Linked DNA regions of Macaca fascicularis. The protein of the gene in region 4 purifies or fractionates together with the protein of the main gene of each other region. This does not show direct contact. Links are inferred from orthologs where the notes say so. Each region holds a gene or a part of one and is shown on either strand. Other genes may lie near its edges. The genes, in order: PDS5B, PDS5A, NIPBL and SMC1A.

Region 1 (4,587 bases), on a different chromosome or scaffold from region 4:
GGTGAAATCCCGTCTCTACTAAAAATTACAAAAAATTAGCTGGGAGTGGTGGCGCGTGCCTGTAGTCCCAGCTACTTGGGAGGCTGAGGCAGGGGAATCGCTGGAACCCGGGAGGGGGAAGTTGCAGTGAGCTGAGATCGCGCCACTGCACTCCAGCTTGGCGACAGATCGAGACTCCGTCTCAAAAAAAAAAAGAAAAAAAAAAAAAGAAAAAAAAAATTCTTGCTCTCATCCTGCCGTTCTTCTGAAACTTTCTTGCTTCCTGGCTTTGGAGGTTTGGGAATTGAAGAAAATAAAGTAAAAAAGATAAAAACAACCAAAGAGGAAAGGTTTTTCTAGATCTAGACATCCTACTCTCTTCTTCCATACAAGATTTATGCTGATGGAACAACAATGTAAAATAAGAAAATTCCTGAGATAATTTTAAAAAGAGAGCAGAAAAAACTCATAGTGGACTTCATCAAGGAATGTGTAAAATGGGTAGAACCTGGAGTATTCAGTGGCAAAATCTTGGACATAGGAATACAGTAACACAACATACTGGTCTAGCAAGCACTGTAGGAGACTGAAGCGGAATTGTCCAGGAAATCCCACAAAAATGGAAATGAAGAGGTCTCAGTATCTCTAGGTGCAGAAAGGAGATAGCCTTCAAAACAGCTACATGGTAAGGGTGAATGAGGCAATTACCATTAGGACAGACAGAGGAAAATGCACCTAGTATCTCTAGGTGCACAGTAACATTAGTTTACAGATCAGCATTACCTATCTTTTCTTTCAGTTGATAAGTATCCTATTGTAATCCATTCATTCACCCTTTGCTTGTTCATTGTTGAAACAAATTCTCCCTGGAACAAAATTCTAGTAACCAAATACATCATATCGGGGGAAACTTCCTTACAGAAGGGATGATATTAAAGTAAAAAGAGGAGGAAGTCCCTTCTTCAGTTCTGGCAGGGGAGGAAAAGCTTCCCCAAAGGTAGGTGATCTGTTGTGACCAGGCTAAACCCACTTGAGGGACTGGCATCCCCTAAAGGTGAAGAGGGGAGGAGACCCACCTCCTGGAATGTGTCCCTGTGGTCTCCAGATGATGTCTTCCTCTAATAAGGACAATTCTGCCAAAGGAATAGAATGCTTCGTCACAGGCTCAATTACTCTGTGTCTCCGCCAGCTTACCACCTATGAACAATTCATCAAATTAGGAAAGCGGGGAGATTTAATAAAGACACAACACATAAAGTGTAGGAAAACTATTTGTATGGCATTCCGAGACGACTAGGTCAGAATTAACAAGGAGCAAAGTAGTTAATAATACCAATTATGTTAACCTAGCACAACACCTGTGCTGAATGTCAGTGTTTAAAAAAATCTCCCAATCTTTATCTAAAAAGATAGGGCTACGTAACAATCGGAATGATTTTTGTCGGTGGAGGTCTAGTAAGCTGCAAGGGTAGTGGACGCCTTGACAGCTGCCAGTCTCGCGGCCTCCGCGGCGGCGTGCCCGTGTGGCTGCGTGCGCGCGGACGGGGCGGGGCTGAGGAGGGGAGTGCGCGCGCGCGGACGGGGCGGGGCGGAGCTCGGAGGGCGGGCGCGCGCGGGGCCGTCTGGTCGGCAGGGGGCGCTGCGCACCCATGCCGCGCTCTGCCTGCCCCCGGGTGCTGTCCGCGGCGGTTCGATTGGAGCAGCCGCCGAAGAGCGCTTGGCGCCATTTTGAAGCGGAGAGGAGGAGGAACGGCCGGGCTGGCTGCGGAAGGGGAGGGGGGAGAGAAGGCGATTGGATGCGGCGGCGGCGGCGGATCCCGGAGAGCCGCGGAGTGAGAGGAGTAGCGAGTCGGAAACCCGGAGGTAGGAAACAATTCAGTTAACGGAAAGAAAATGTCTCTCTTCTCTGGCCGCGGCGCTCCATTTTTCGGTGGCCGCCACTGCAGCTGTGTGTGTGTGTGTGTGTGTGTGTGTGGCAGGGCTGAAGCGCCGCCCGCCCGGGTGCCAGGCGCGACTCGCCTCCCGGCATCGGGGGCTGCAGCGGGCGGCTGCCTGGCGGCGGCCCGGGGCGGGGGTCGCGGGGCGCGGGCCGGCTGCGCGGTGGGGGTGGGGAGGGCCCGGCGGCCGACTCGCGCCTCCACGCCGCGGGCTCTGCCGCAGCCTCTGGAAATTAAACTTGCCGCTCTGATCCCGGCCCGGGCGGCGGCGGCGGCGGGCGGTGACCTTGCGCGCGGGCTGGGGTCCCGGGGCCGCCCGGCCGCCCGCGCCCTCCCGCCGCCACCGCCGCCGCCGCGCCCCTCCCCCCGCGCCCCGGCCGGCCGGCGGCTGTTTCCCGGGCGGCAGGCGGGCGGCGCGGTGCTCCTGTTGAATCCTCCCGCGGGCGGGCTTCTCCCCCTTCCGGGCGAGGGGCGGGCGGGGACCGCGGGTCGGGGCCGCGGGCGCCCTCGCCCTCGCCCTCGTCGCCGGCTCCCCGCGCGCCGCCTGGCCTGCGCTTCGGGCCAGGGGACGGGCTGAGCATGACATTTTTGCGCTGTTCCTCGCTGCTTGCCCGAGGGAAATCGCGCTCACCGCGCCGCCCGGAGTGGGTGCTCGGGGAACCTGAGGACCCCGTTGAGCAAGAGCCCAGCGCTGGCGTGGAGGGACTCCTCCCAGGCGACAACTGGGTTCTAGCTTTCCTTTCGGAAGGAACGGCGGGGAAAATGGTGTGCAATTGTGACTCGTTAATGTTTTTGCACTGTTATTTTAATGCTACTTTAAAAGTTTTCGGTCCGGAGAAAAACCTTGTTTGTTGTTGTTGCTGCTACTGCTGTTGGTTTTTGGTAGAGACGTGAAAGCTAACTCTGAAGTAGCTCGACAGTTATTTTGGAGGAATGACTGAAACCAGAAACGCCGCCCCTCGCCTTCGGAACTGCAGGCTGCTGCGTTCCTTGCCGCGGACGGGGCGAGCTCCGGGAAGGGTTGAAAGAGCAGCTACCCACCCATTCCGCGCGCGTCTTCAACAGCCTCTCTACCCCAGCAAGGGTTAACCCTTTTTTATGTCGAAGAAAGTGCTTCTTGTACTTTTAATAAGAGGTGATGGATGGGCAGTGGTGCCCCGACTGATCCTACCCTGTCGATGAAATAGTTTCAGAAACTTTGGATATAGCTTTAATTTAGAGGGTTGGTCTGCGGTGTGGAGAGAGTTGGGTAATCCTATACCATCTTCCTAATAAACTTCAAAAACTCACGTTGTGTTTACATGCAGGAGGCGAGCTGTAAATAAATCGTCATTACCCAATACTTGAACGGCAATATAGTCGTTGTTCTCAGTTAACCCATCCAGAGTTCCCAGACAGAACGTTTTTTATATTAACTCATGTAGTGGTCAGGTAAACTAGTTAAAAGCCACAAATATGGACTTGAAAGACAGCTCGTTATGCAGTACACATGTCTGAGATGTTCGCATCTTTAGGGACAATGAAATGAGTATTCAATGGTGTATGTGGGTCAGTTCGTGGAACAGTTAATCTTGTATCTCATGGTGATAGCAGAAAACCGAATTAAAATTTGTAGTGGTGAATAGGTGAAAGTTACATGGGACCTTTTATGTTAAGATCGATTGATTGTCAGAAACTAAAAACATTTTAAGAACGTTATTCCTTAGAAATAAGATTTGTGCTTAATATACGTTTACAAGTATATGTAAAAAGATGCACTTTAGACTTTATAAAAATTATCCAAATAGTGACTTTTTCCTCCTTTTTCTGATGGTTTAAAAAATTGTCCTCTTCTCAGCTGGCGTTTACTTAAAGGTGTATTTTAAATGGGAAGGTAGTGTTTGTGTTCACCCTTTTTCTTTTTTTCTTTTCTCCTTGTTTTGGTTAAGGCTGATTTTCCCTATATTACCTTTTACAGCAGCTTTTGTTACTCTTGTCGCCTTTATTCTCTCGTGTTATGTCTCTCCCCTCTCATTTTTACCCCCGTATTAGAGACACATGTACTGATGATAGTGATTCTTGTCGTGAGATGTTTGTATTAAGCTTACTTGTAGTAAGATTCTACCGAGTTGGCTGTTTGATGAAAGTTGTTTAAATTGTTCTGCAGCTTTGTTTAACAAAGTAACATTTTGAGGAGTAGGCTTTATCAATAATTTGTTAGGCCTAAGATAAAGTAATACTTTGTGTTAGGGCTTGCCCTGGAGAAGAATGCAATGGTAGAAAATACCCAAAACTTTGTGAGAAAGGAATATTTCGGGAAGTTGTATTCTTTCTGCTTATTCCTCTTGGGAAATTTAGAGACTGCCTTAGAACTAACAGGAGTGCGCTCAGTAAGATTTGGCTTATGGACTCTTGAATGACATGGACTGTATATAACTTATATTGGAAAAGTTATTTATGTTTCCTCCGTTAGTGTTAGAGAGCAACAAGAAAACTTAAGGATGATCTCCAACTCGCTTATACATGAGAAATTCGGTTCAGATTTTAATTTCATTGATTTATCTGAGGTCACAGTCGTATTCATGTGGTGGAATTGGGGCAGCTCTTAGATATCCTGGAAGCTGAGAAGTTTCCCCATTGTCTTTTTTTTGTTCTATTCAGGATTTAGCAATATTTATTAATAAAAATTCAG
Region 2 (3,806 bases), on a different chromosome or scaffold from region 4:
ATTGAGTAAAAGAAGGGAAGAAATTGAAGGCAAAGAGACGTGATACCACTGTGACTTACAGGAGAAGAGACAAACCAGTGCAATGGATGTTACATAGAAAAAGAATTATGGGCTCGTATTCCGAGGTTCTTAAATGTAATTTCATTGAGCTGGGCTCAATGCCTGTAATCCCAGCACTTTGGGAGGCCGAGGCGGGCAGATCACGACGTCAAGACCATCCTGGCCAACATGGGGAAACCCTGTCTCTACTAATAAAGTACAAAAATTAGCTAGACATGGTGGCACACGCCTGTAGTCACAGCTACTTCGGAGGCTGAGGCAGGAAAATCGCTTGAACCCGGGAGATGGAGGTTGCAGTGAGCCGAGATCGTGCCACTGCACTCCAGCTTGGCGTCAGAGTGAGACTCTGTCTCAAAAGAAAAAAAAAAATCATTTCATTGATAGAATTGATATGATGCCTCATGAATAAGATTTTAATTAATTTTTTTAGTAATTGAGTTGTATTTTTAAGTTCTCTTAAAAGTGAAACCACCTTTAAGGTAACATTTTTTAATAGATTGGTTTTTATTACATTTTTCTAATTTAATTCTCCAGTTTTCTATAAATAATCAAAACCACGTAAGTAAATATTATCACTGCAAGCCTTGCCAAATGAGACAGTAGCACTTAATGACCATTAAATAAGTGCTTATTGAAAAATTAATGAAGACCACCTGCTCATTCCCCTTTCTCCCTGCTTCTCTATTTGCCTCCCTAATCTTGATACTACACTAACTGAATTGTTATGAATTGTATGGAAAGTTAACTCTTTAGACATGTATCTAACTTGCTAAAAATTATTTAAGAACAGGCTCGTGCTCATGTCATAATAAGGGAATAATTATGTATTGTAATCATAATTAAAAGTTCACAATAGTGGCTTCTTTGTTGATAATTATGATGAGTGATTTCACTTGAAATATTTTCTTGCCTTGGTACAGTGGTTTATGCCTGTAATCCCAGCCAAGGCAGGAAGATCTCTTGAGCACAGGAGTTGGAGACCAGCCTGGGCAACATAGCTAGACCTCATCTCTACAAAAAAAAAAAAAAAAAAAAAAACGCCGGGCGCGGTGGCTCACGCCTGTAATCCCAGCACTTTGGGAGGCTGAGGTGGGCAGATCATGGGGTCAGGAGATCGAGACCATCCTGGCAAACACGGTGAAACTCCGTCTCTATTAAAAGTACAAAAAATAAGCCGGGCATGGTGGCGGGCACCTGTAGTCCCAGCTACTCAGGAGGCTGAGGCAGGAGAATGGCGTGAAACTAGGAGGCGGAGCTTGTAGTGAGCTGAGATCAGGCCACTGCACTCTAGCCTGGGCGATAGAGTGAGACTCCGTCTCAAAAAAAAAAAAAATTTTTTTTAGCTGGGCTGGTGCACCTGTAATCTCAGCTCAGGAGGCTGAGACCACAGTGAGCTGTGATGTTCCACCGCACTCTAGCCTAGGTGACAGAGTGAAATCCTGTCACAAAAAAAAAAAAGAAAAAAAAATTCTCATAGATTATCTTTTTGCCAGTCAAAGAAAGCTCTGAGTTAGCATTTTGTTTACATTACACAAAGATTGAGTCATTACGTATGGAGGTTTTATTTCAAGTAAGCATTCCTTCATCTAAATACAATATATTTATAAACTGATAATAGTTATTAATATTGTAAATCACATTCCATAAAAAAGGAGTTTTGTGTTCTAAGTAGCAGAGTAGACTAAGAGGTGAAGAAGAAAATAGGACAAAGGCTGTCTGTCAGTTGTGTGAAGGAATAACTGGGAGCTACTACACCACACAGTATTTCTGATAATGTCTAATTAGCCATAACTAACTGCAAGGGTGGCTAGGAGATGTATCTCTATTCTGTGTAGCTAGCATATTTACCCCAGAATTTATTTATGTATGTATTTATTTATTTATTTATTTATCACGGGAAGTATTTCTTTTTTAATGGATTAAAACAATTGTCTGTACTTCTAAAGCTGTATCTATTTTTTCAGGTTCTGTCTTTCACACATCCTACCTCGTTCCACTCTGCAGAGACATATGAGTCCTTGTTACAGTGCCTAAGAATGGAAGATGACAAGGTGGCAGAAGCTGCTATTCAAATTTTTAGAAATACAGGTCACAAAATAGAAACAGACCTTCCCCAGATACGATCGTGAGTACATTTTTTGTCCCATGGTAAATACAAAAGTTTCTAAGTGTGGGAACCATAAAATCATTGTTTTCCTTTTGTATAGGAAGTTGGGAGAGAGGAAAGACAATTTTGATTTAAAAGCTACTTTTCTGTGTCCTCTGTTTTGTCTTTCCCTTGCCTTACACCCCTCTCCCACCATTAGAATGTAGGCAGCAGAGTAAACTGAAACTACATGTTTGTTTATAACAAAATCATTTTAAGATATTAAGAATCAAAGGTTATCCCATAATTTAGTGTTTTATTTATGATTAATATCTTTCTAATCCATGTATATTCATCTTTTTTTCTGTAAATGGGTTATAAATTCAATAACTGTCACACTGCTATCCTACCAAAAAATGGGGCAAATAGTTCACTTTGGCATCTTAAAAATGTTAAGGTGAAACTTGTGCTGAGATGTTATATTTAGACTTAAAATATGCAGAAGACATCTTCTGGAGGAAAAAATACATTGCAAATGGCTGTTGAATCATATGTATTTGCAAGTAGTTCAAGGTCTATTGAACTACATACCATTTTCCTCTTATGGTAATCATAGGACAAGCAGTCTCCTGAAGTTTTTATTAAATTTGTGAACTTATAGTTTAACTTGTGAAAAATTCAGTGTTCATTGTACATTCTCTTCATTCTCAGCATTGTCTGGCTAATAAAAAAAGTTACCACAATCAGTCCCTGCCCTCGAGGAGTTTGTAGACTAGAAATAATAAACTTTATATGTATACATTATTAAAAAAAGATTATTGACACAATAGGATAGATTTTGATAAGTTTTTCAAGGGAGGAAATCCTATACATTTTTTTAAGGCAAAGGATCTATTCTTAGAGAAATTCCACCCCAAAGGAAGCAATTGAAAATGGGTATAGGTAGAAGAGGTAACTTTGGACGTGAGGAATAAAATACCTCATTCATAAGATTAATGGAGGAGAAAGGAGATAATCACTGGAAAGAAGAAGAGCACAACACTAAAGACCTCAATAACATCTCTGATGGCATCACTGGATTATACTGCTCTATAAAAAAACAAGAAGAAAGATTAAAGTTGACTTTCTGTATTATTTTATTTGGCTAATAATAATTAATAATACATTTAACAACAGTTTGATTGAAACTGTCTTCCTTTGTCATTCACGTGTTATTTTATAAGAGATCATAGTCTGGTAAATGGAACGGTGAAAGACTAAACAGATAGGAGAGAGGAAAGACATCTTCCGTGTAGAAGTGTGGCCAAGACTCAGTCAAGGAAGTCTATTTGGGCATGGACATCCCTATCTCATAATTCCAAAGTCCATAGAGACAAACTTCAGGCATATTTATAAATGTCACATCAGACTTACACCAACTAGCATATGTTCCCATTTTTGGTTAAGGTGCATGGCCTGGAGCCTGCAGTATAGCTTTTCATATCTAGCCTTCCATTATCATAAGAGGGCATTGTCACCCCTGCATTCATTTGATACCACTAACTTTATAATCTATGAAACAGGCTCTTCTCTAATAACATTAAATATATGACAAATATCTTTCCTTCTATGTTTGTTTCGCTTTATCAATTTTCTTTTTTTTTTTTTTTTTTTTTTTGAG
Region 3 (3,806 bases), on a different chromosome or scaffold from region 4:
GAAAGCAGATTGTCAGAATCTAAACCAAATGAAAACCGATTGGTGGAGACAAAATCAACTGAAAATAAGTTAGAAACTAAAGTTGAGACCCAAACAGAAGAACTTAAACAGAATGAGAGCAGAACAACTGAATGCAAACAAAACGAGAGCACCGTAGTTGAGCCTAAACAAAATGAAAATAGACTGTCTGACACAAAACCAAATGACAACAAACAAAATAATGGCAGATCAGAAACAACAAAATCAAGGCCTGAAACCCCAAAGCAAAAGGGTGAAAGCCGGCCTGAGACTCCAAAACAAAAGAGTGAAGGGCGTCCTGAAACCCCAAAACAGAAGGGTGATGGAAGGCCTGAAACTCCAAAGCAAAAAGGTGAAAGCCGCCCTGAAACTCCAAAGCAAAAAAATGAAGGGCGACCTGAAACACCAAAACACAGGCATGACAATAGGAGGGATTCTGGAAAGCCATCTACGGAGAAAAAACCTGAAGTGTCTAAACATAAACAAGATACTAAATCTGACTCACCTCGGTTAAAATCAGAACGAGCTGAAGCCTTAAAGCAGAGACCTGATGGGCGATCTATTTCTGAGTCACTAAGACGTGACCATGATAATAAACAAAAATCAGATGACAGGGGTGAATCAGAGCGACATCGAGGAGATCAGTCTAGGGTTCGAAGACCAGAAACATTGAGATCCTCTAGTAGAAATGAACATGGCATTAAATCTGATAGTTCAAAAACTGATAAACTAGAACGAAAACACAGGCATGAATCAGGGGACCCAAGGGAAAGACCATCTTCTGGGGAACAAAAATCAAGACCTGACAGTCCTCGTGTTAAACAAGGAGATTCTAATAAATCAAGATCTGATAAACCTGGTTTTAAATCACCAAATAGTAAAGATGACAAAAGGACAGAGGGTAACAAGAGTAAAGTAGACACTAATAAAGCACACCCTGACAATAAGGCAGAATTTCCAAGTTATTTGTTGGGGGGCAGGTCTGGTGCATTGAAAAATTTTGTCATTCCGAAAATCAAGAGGGATAAAGATGGCAATGTTACTCAGGAAACAAAGAAAATGGAAATGAAAGGAGAGCAGAAAGACAAAGTAGAAAAAATAGGATTAGTTGAAGATCTAAATAAAGGAGCTAAGCCTGTAGTTGTTCTACAAAAACTGTCTTTGGATGATGTTCAGAAACTTATTAAAGATAGAGAGGACAAATCAAGAAGTTCCCTTAAACCTATCAAGAATAAACCATCAAAGTCAAATAAAGGTAAGAATACTGATGTCATTTATAATATAATCGATTTTAAGTGCTAAGGTTACTAAGTATTAAAAAGGAAATTTACAAAAATTAGAAAGCTACTACGTGAAAATATAACATCTATGTCAAACAACAGTAAATTTTTTTCAGAAGTATAGATAAAGGTTTCCAATGAATTTTTTTTCCCCACAGTTTTTTTCTTCCCACCCACTACTCAAGGTAGTTATGAATCTTACTGCTATTTGGTTACACAGAGATAAGTTATTTGGCTGTTTAATTATTTCTTATATTCGTTATTTCTTATGTTAATCAAGTGAATGTTGTATTAAAATAGCTGTCTTTAAAAACTCTCTATAGTCTTACAATACTATATTCTTACAGACCTGTGTTTGAGCTAATTATCGATGAATAGTTTGTATAGTTTAGAAAGTTATATAAAAGGTTATTTTTCATTTTGTTGGGGAGATGGTTAGTTAAATATGTTTTATATTTTTAAAACATATCTTTTTGTCCTTGTTTATGCAAAGGTAATAGGGAACGGTACTTACTTTTTAAATTTGGTTAAATTGTAAGTTTGTGGGAGGCAGGGGGACTGGTGTTATTTTTGCATGGTTTCTGAGTTAAATTCTCTGGTTACTTGAGTAAGATTATTTCCAAAGGGATAAGAATGTCTTAAGTGCCAAAAAATAATGACCATTTGTGCAGAAGATATACTTTTGTATCCGTTTGTACACAAGTATTTAAAATAACTTTTTTTATTTTTAAATAGAGATGAGGTCTTCTTGCTTTGTTGACCAGGCTGCTTTCGAACTCCTGGCCTCAAGCGATCCTTTTGTCTCAGCCTCCCAAAGTGCTGGGATTACAGGCGTGAGCCACCATGTCCATGCAGTCTAAATATATTGAGGTGTAGTGAAGGCGATAGAACTGAGAGTTTATTTGATTTTGAGTTTTCCTTCTGTGAAAGAGAATTATTAAGAATTTAGATTTAAACTTATATGTAACCAAGTATATGAAATCTGGAATTGCATTGGCTGAGATGGTAGCCATTACCTTTTTTGGCTATTTAAATTTAAATTAACTAAAATTGAAAGTTCATTTCATCAGTTGTCATACGTGGCTATTGGCTACCGTATTGGACAAAACAGAACATTTGCATCATCACAGAAAGTTGTATTGCATAGCACTGCAGTGCATTAGCAGATATGAAAAGTGTGTGGTTATTGTTTTCATAACATGCTGTTGTAACTTGTCTACCAAGAAAACTCTTTGAAAACATATTATAAAGAACTCTATTCAAAGAATGACTTGTGGCTCATCTGTTGTTATTCTTGCTTGGTCTTCGTCAGCATTCATTTCTTCACTGTTAATTTATTTGATTTTGCCTTACAAAAATGAAAAAATATTGCCTTCTGAGTTACTAATATTTGTGTTCTTTGAGTGAAGCTTTTAATTTTTAGATTATAGCAATTAGACCAAAAATCAATTAAGACATCAGCCTCAATAAGTAGCCTTTTTAATTTAACTGGAATGTGTCTTTTCAGAGTTACTTGTTAATATGAAAGAGGTTGTAGAATGCGGGAGTTAACACTAGATTTGTTTTCTTTTAGGTAAAGATTTTCTTTAAAATTTTTTAGCGAAAGTTTGGGAGTAGCTTATATTTATAAACTAAAGAGTATGGCTATACAATTTTAGAAGAGTCAGGTGAAAGATGGAAAGTGGTACCCTCTTGTTCCTTTGATCTGGACCATCTTTCTCTCCCTCCCCTCTCAGCTTACCCTAGCCTTGCTTTCTAAACTCTGTTCTAACAAAGAGTCTTTTACAACTCCTTAAAGAACATCCAGAAGTGAATATAGCTTTTAGTTAGTAATTGCTGTATTATTTCACCTGGTTTTTTCACATGCAGTAATATGGCCTATGAATAAGTTTTTAGCACCAAAATGCATTTCTGATAGTATACTTTTAATGCAGATGTATATACCTGATATGGTCATGTTAGTATGTAAGTAAGCTATCTGGGTGTCTGAGTGATGTGTATGTATGTGTACATGTGCATGTTTATGTATATATACACATATATTAATGTAACTGCAATTACAATAACAGTCCTTTTCATCAAAAAATACTGTGTCAGTGCTTAAATTCATTTCAGGATGCCATGTAGCTATCTTTTGGATTAATTTATTTATGTCTTAGGATCCGTATCTTTTTTTTTTTTTTTTAGTAATGTTCTAATTTTGGTTTTATTTTAGATTTTTGCTACTCAGTTTAAATAGCAGAGTTGGTTAATTGTGGATTTTTTTAATTGCATGTACATGAAGCACAGTTGTAGATTACTTACCCTTTGTAGTACATATTGGGGTTTTCTTTGGAGATTCACAGAAAATCACATTTTGATGTGTTGATGATTTTCTGAGTAAAGGAATTAGTCTGAATATTGCTGGGATACTTTTATGGTTGGTTCCTAGGGCCAAAATTGAAAAGCCATAAATTTCCATCTTTTAAATATTTTACCAGTTGTTCATATAGAAAATATTCTTTAGGA
Region 4 (3,806 bases):
TCAGTTAGTAGATCCAACCGAACACCATCTATGTCTGCTTTTTAGTAGGCCTCCTATATTAGTGACAGATTATCCTGGACTGTTGGGCTCTTGGATGAGTGGGCACATAAGGGGTGTTATCTAGGGCTCCCGTGGTCTTGGCGTAAACTTGTGCAGCCCTTGGTGATAGAATACGTTTGTTTCCCAGGCCAAGATCAAGCAAAAGCTGCGGGAAATTGAAGAGAATCAGAAGCGGATTGAGAAACTGGAGGAATACATCACCACTAGCAAGTATGTAGCTCTGCAACTGTCCCCCTTACTTCCAGGCCTGTTCTTGTGACCCTACCTACCTGCCCATCTTCATGCAGGACCCCCAGAGCCTCTCTGAGCCAGGAGTATTTTTCTCACCAGCAGGAGTAACTCCTGTGTGCCGTCACTTTGTAGGCAGTCCCTAGAAGAGCAGAAGAAGCTAGAGGGGGAGCTGACAGAGGAGGTGGAGATGGCCAAGCGGCGTATTGATGAAATCAATAAGGAGCTGAATCAGGTGATGGAGCAGCTAGGGGATGCCCGCATTGACCGTCAGGAGAGCAGCCGCCAGCAGCGAAAGGCAGAGATAATGGAAAGCATCAAGCGCCTTTACCCTGGCTCTGTGGTAAGAGCAGAGGGGGAACTCATTTCCTGAGTACTTACACTCACTGTCACACGATTTTCCCAGCAGCCCTTTGAGGACCAGGTTGCCAATCCTATTTTTATTGTCAGGGGAAATGAGGCTCGGAGAGGTTTAAAAAAGCACCGCTTCTAAGTGGAAGAACTGCAGTTCAAACCCAACTTGTTCTCCTAAGCTCATGTTCCTTTTTTTTTTTTTTTTTTTTTTTAAATTTTTCAACCTGTCATACTAGGCAATCATGTTCTTTTCATCATAACAATTACGTTTTTCTGAAGGGTTTGTCTTGCTGTGTCCATGCCTCTGGGAGGGGAATTGGAAAACCAGGAAAGATTTTGGAGGCAGGTGGGACCATGGGGCTGGAATTACTCTCCCAGGAAATAGCTCTGTGCAGTCTTCTATATGGGCTCTCTTGGCATGTATTAACTGGCCCAGTAGCTTTTAGGGACACCCTGAGCTTTATCAGACCTCTTGATCTTTTGACCTCTTTCACCCAATCCTGAGTTCCCAGGTTCCTTGAATATTATCCCATACCTGGGTTCAACTTAGTTTGGTTCCACTAATATTTCCCTGTCACTTCTCTAGAGGCTCTGCTGGGGAGGTAGGTATGATTAGAGTCAGTCCCTGCTCTCTTAATCTGATAGTTCTTAGGGAACCAGGCTTGGTTTTGGAGACTGCGGGAAGGGAACTGGTAAAAGAGATGGATTGATTGATTGATTGATTGATTGATTGATTTTGAGATAGAGTCTTGCTCTTTCGCCCAGGCTAGAGTGCAGTGGCACAACCTCGGCTCACTGCAATCTCTGCCTCCTAGGCTCAAGCGATTCTCCTGCCTTAGCCTCCCAAGTAGCTGGGATTACAGGTGCCCACCACCATGCCCAGCTAATTTTTTTGTATTTTTAGTAGAGACAGGGTTTCACCATGTTGGCCAGGCTGGTTTTAAACTCCTGATCTCAAGTGATCTGCCCGCCTCAGCCTCCCAAAGTGGTAGGATTACAGGCGTGAGCCACCACGCCCAGCCAGATTTATTTCACTAAGTACTTGTGAAAATTTGAAATAATATATGTAAGATATTTGGCATAGTGCCTGGGTGGCGGTGGTCTGTAAAATGGTAAATGAGGTTTAGAAAGATGATCCTGGATTCAGACACGACTGCTTGAAGTCATTGCTTGGGAGCCATAATAGTCTTTTTCTTTATAGGATGGGGGCTGTGTTCTTCTGTGAGATAGGGAAAAACCGAAGTGTTTTTTCTACTCTCACACAACCAGCACAACACTTCACTTCTGACACCAGAAGTTTTGGGGTTTTTCCTCACACACCAAGCAATTCTCCAGCAGACACCAGCTGGGTGACCTATAATTCACTTCAACTCTGACACTATTTATCTGGAGATAGCATCAGATCCCATGGGTTAGGGGCTCAGTCTAAGACTTCAGATGCCAATTGCAAGTCTCAGGTTGTGACTTGTGGTTCTGACTGACCTGCTGTAAATTACAGTTCCTGAGAATCCCTCCCTGGGTTCGATTAATTTACTAGTGCAGCTCACAGAACTCAGGAAAATGTTTTACTTATGTTTACCCATTTATTATGAAGGATATTACAAAGGATGCAGAGAACAGCCAGATGGATGCATAAGGCAGGGTATGGGGGAAGAGGTGTGAAGCTTCCATGCCCAATCTGGGCAAGCCACCCTCCAGGTACCCCCACACAGGGGCTTCATTATGTAGGCCTGATTGATCAAATCATCAGCCATCGGTGATCAGTTCAAACTTCAGCCCCTCTCCCCTTCTGAAGGTTGTGGGGGTGGAGCTAAGAGTCGCAAATCTCATCCTGCCTTGGTCTTTCTGGTAACCAGCCCCTATCCAGAAGCTATCTATGGGCCTCTAGCCATAATCATCTCATTAACATACAAAATGCTCATTCCTGAGATTCTAAGGGTTTTAGGGGTTGTGTGTCGGGAACTCCCGCGTAGAAGACTAAATATATATTTCATAAAACACCACAGTCCACTTTGATCTTCAAACGCAGATCCGTTACATCAGAACAATCATGTAATAGAAAGAGGCTGGGGGCCAGCGGATCACTGGAGGTCAGGAGTTCGGGACCAGCCTGGCCAACATGGTGAAACCCCATCTACTGAAAGTACAAAAATTAGCTGGGCATGATGGTGGGCACCTGTAATCCCAGCTACTCAGGAGGCTAAGGCAGGAGAATCACTTGAACCTGGGAGGTGGAGGTTGCAGTGAGCCGGTATTACGCCCCTGCACTCCAGCGTGGGCTGCAGAGTGAGACTTCGTCTCCCAAAAAAAGTAGAAAAATAACTGGTACATTACTAGAATCCCATTTAGTCATTAATTAATAATTAGTTTAGTCCATGATCATGTCATGAAAATGTTTCCTAGGGTGAGACCATTCAGGTTTGCAGGCTTTTATTCAATCTTGTTAGGTTCCAAAATGAGGAGTGTTCTCAGCAAACATAGCTTCACACTTTCAGGCATCTGGGATAATTGTGCTAAGAGACAATATCTCATGCTCTGAACCTGTTTTGAGGTGTTAATATAATACTGAGTTTCCCTCATTACATAACTCATTTATTCTTTACCTCCCTTCTGTTGCCCAAACTTTTCCACCTTTGGAAGGGACATTAGGATTGGCCACTGTGCTGATCTAGAGTGCACACAGCAAGCCAGTCTACAATTGCCTCCTCCTCAGTCCATACAGTTCCATTCAGTTAAGGTAGGGTTACTTGGGTACAGAACTAGTGGGCTGTCTTTTTTGTTTGTTTTGAGACAGGGTCTTATTATGTTACCCAGGCTGGTCTTGAACTCCTGGACTTAAGCGATCCTCCCACTGCAACCTCCCAAGTAGCTAGGATTACAAGCACACACCACCATGCTTGGTATTGGGTTATCTTAACCACTAGGCAATACAGTTGCGTTCACTTCCTGATATAGATTCTAGTCTGTCCCCCTTTCCACACTGGGAATTAGGATTCCTGAGCCAGCTCCCAAAAGCTTCATACTTCAGTTTTCCCTTCCTACTTTACTCAGTATGGCCGCCTCATTGACCTGTGCCAGCCCACACAAAAGAAGTATCAGATTGCTGTAACCAAGGTTTTGGGCAAGAACATGGATGCCATTATTGTGGACTCGGAGAAGACAGG

What was found.
Region 1: the proteins of SMC1A (region 4) and PDS5B purify together in Homo sapiens (affinity purification with western blotting; 8 studies listed by BioGRID and IntAct, with this or other methods). This does not show direct contact. The link is inferred for Macaca fascicularis from reciprocal best matches to the Homo sapiens genes SMC1A and PDS5B.
Region 2: the proteins of SMC1A (region 4) and PDS5A purify together in Homo sapiens (co-immunoprecipitation; 8 studies listed by BioGRID and IntAct, with this or other methods). This does not show direct contact. The link is inferred for Macaca fascicularis from reciprocal best matches to the Homo sapiens genes SMC1A and PDS5A.
Region 3: the proteins of SMC1A (region 4) and NIPBL purify together in Homo sapiens (affinity purification with mass spectrometry; 3 studies listed by BioGRID and IntAct, with this or other methods). This does not show direct contact. The link is inferred for Macaca fascicularis from reciprocal best matches to the Homo sapiens genes SMC1A and NIPBL.

Annotation. Positions count from the first base shown.
Region 1 is NC_088391.1:12,291,476-12,296,062, forward strand, and holds the start of PDS5B (sister chromatid cohesion protein PDS5 homolog B), read left to right. Parts: upstream 1-1,698; 5' UTR 1,699-1,842; intron 1,843-2,302; exon of another isoform or gene 2,303-2,681; intron 2,682-4,587. UniProt on the Homo sapiens protein: Regulator of sister chromatid cohesion in mitosis which may stabilize cohesin complex association with chromatin. May couple sister chromatid cohesion during mitosis to DNA replication.
Region 2 is NC_088379.1:39,173,607-39,177,412, reverse strand, and holds part of PDS5A (sister chromatid cohesion protein PDS5 homolog A), read left to right. Parts: intron 1-2,024; coding exon 2,025-2,185; intron 2,186-3,806. UniProt on the Homo sapiens protein: Probable regulator of sister chromatid cohesion in mitosis which may stabilize cohesin complex association with chromatin. May couple sister chromatid cohesion during mitosis to DNA replication.
Region 3 is NC_088380.1:37,299,528-37,303,333, forward strand, and holds part of NIPBL (nipped-B-like protein), read left to right. Parts: coding exon 1-1,273; intron 1,274-3,806. UniProt on the Homo sapiens protein: Plays an important role in the loading of the cohesin complex on to DNA. Forms a heterodimeric complex (also known as cohesin loading complex) with MAU2/SCC4 which mediates the loading of the cohesin complex onto chromatin.
Region 4 is NC_088395.1:53,398,752-53,402,557, reverse strand, and holds part of SMC1A (structural maintenance of chromosomes protein 1A), read left to right. Parts: intron 1-187; coding exon 188-270; intron 271-423; coding exon 424-631; intron 632-3,693; coding exon 3,694-3,806. UniProt on the Homo sapiens protein: Involved in chromosome cohesion during cell cycle and in DNA repair. Central component of cohesin complex. The cohesin complex is required for the cohesion of sister chromatids after DNA replication.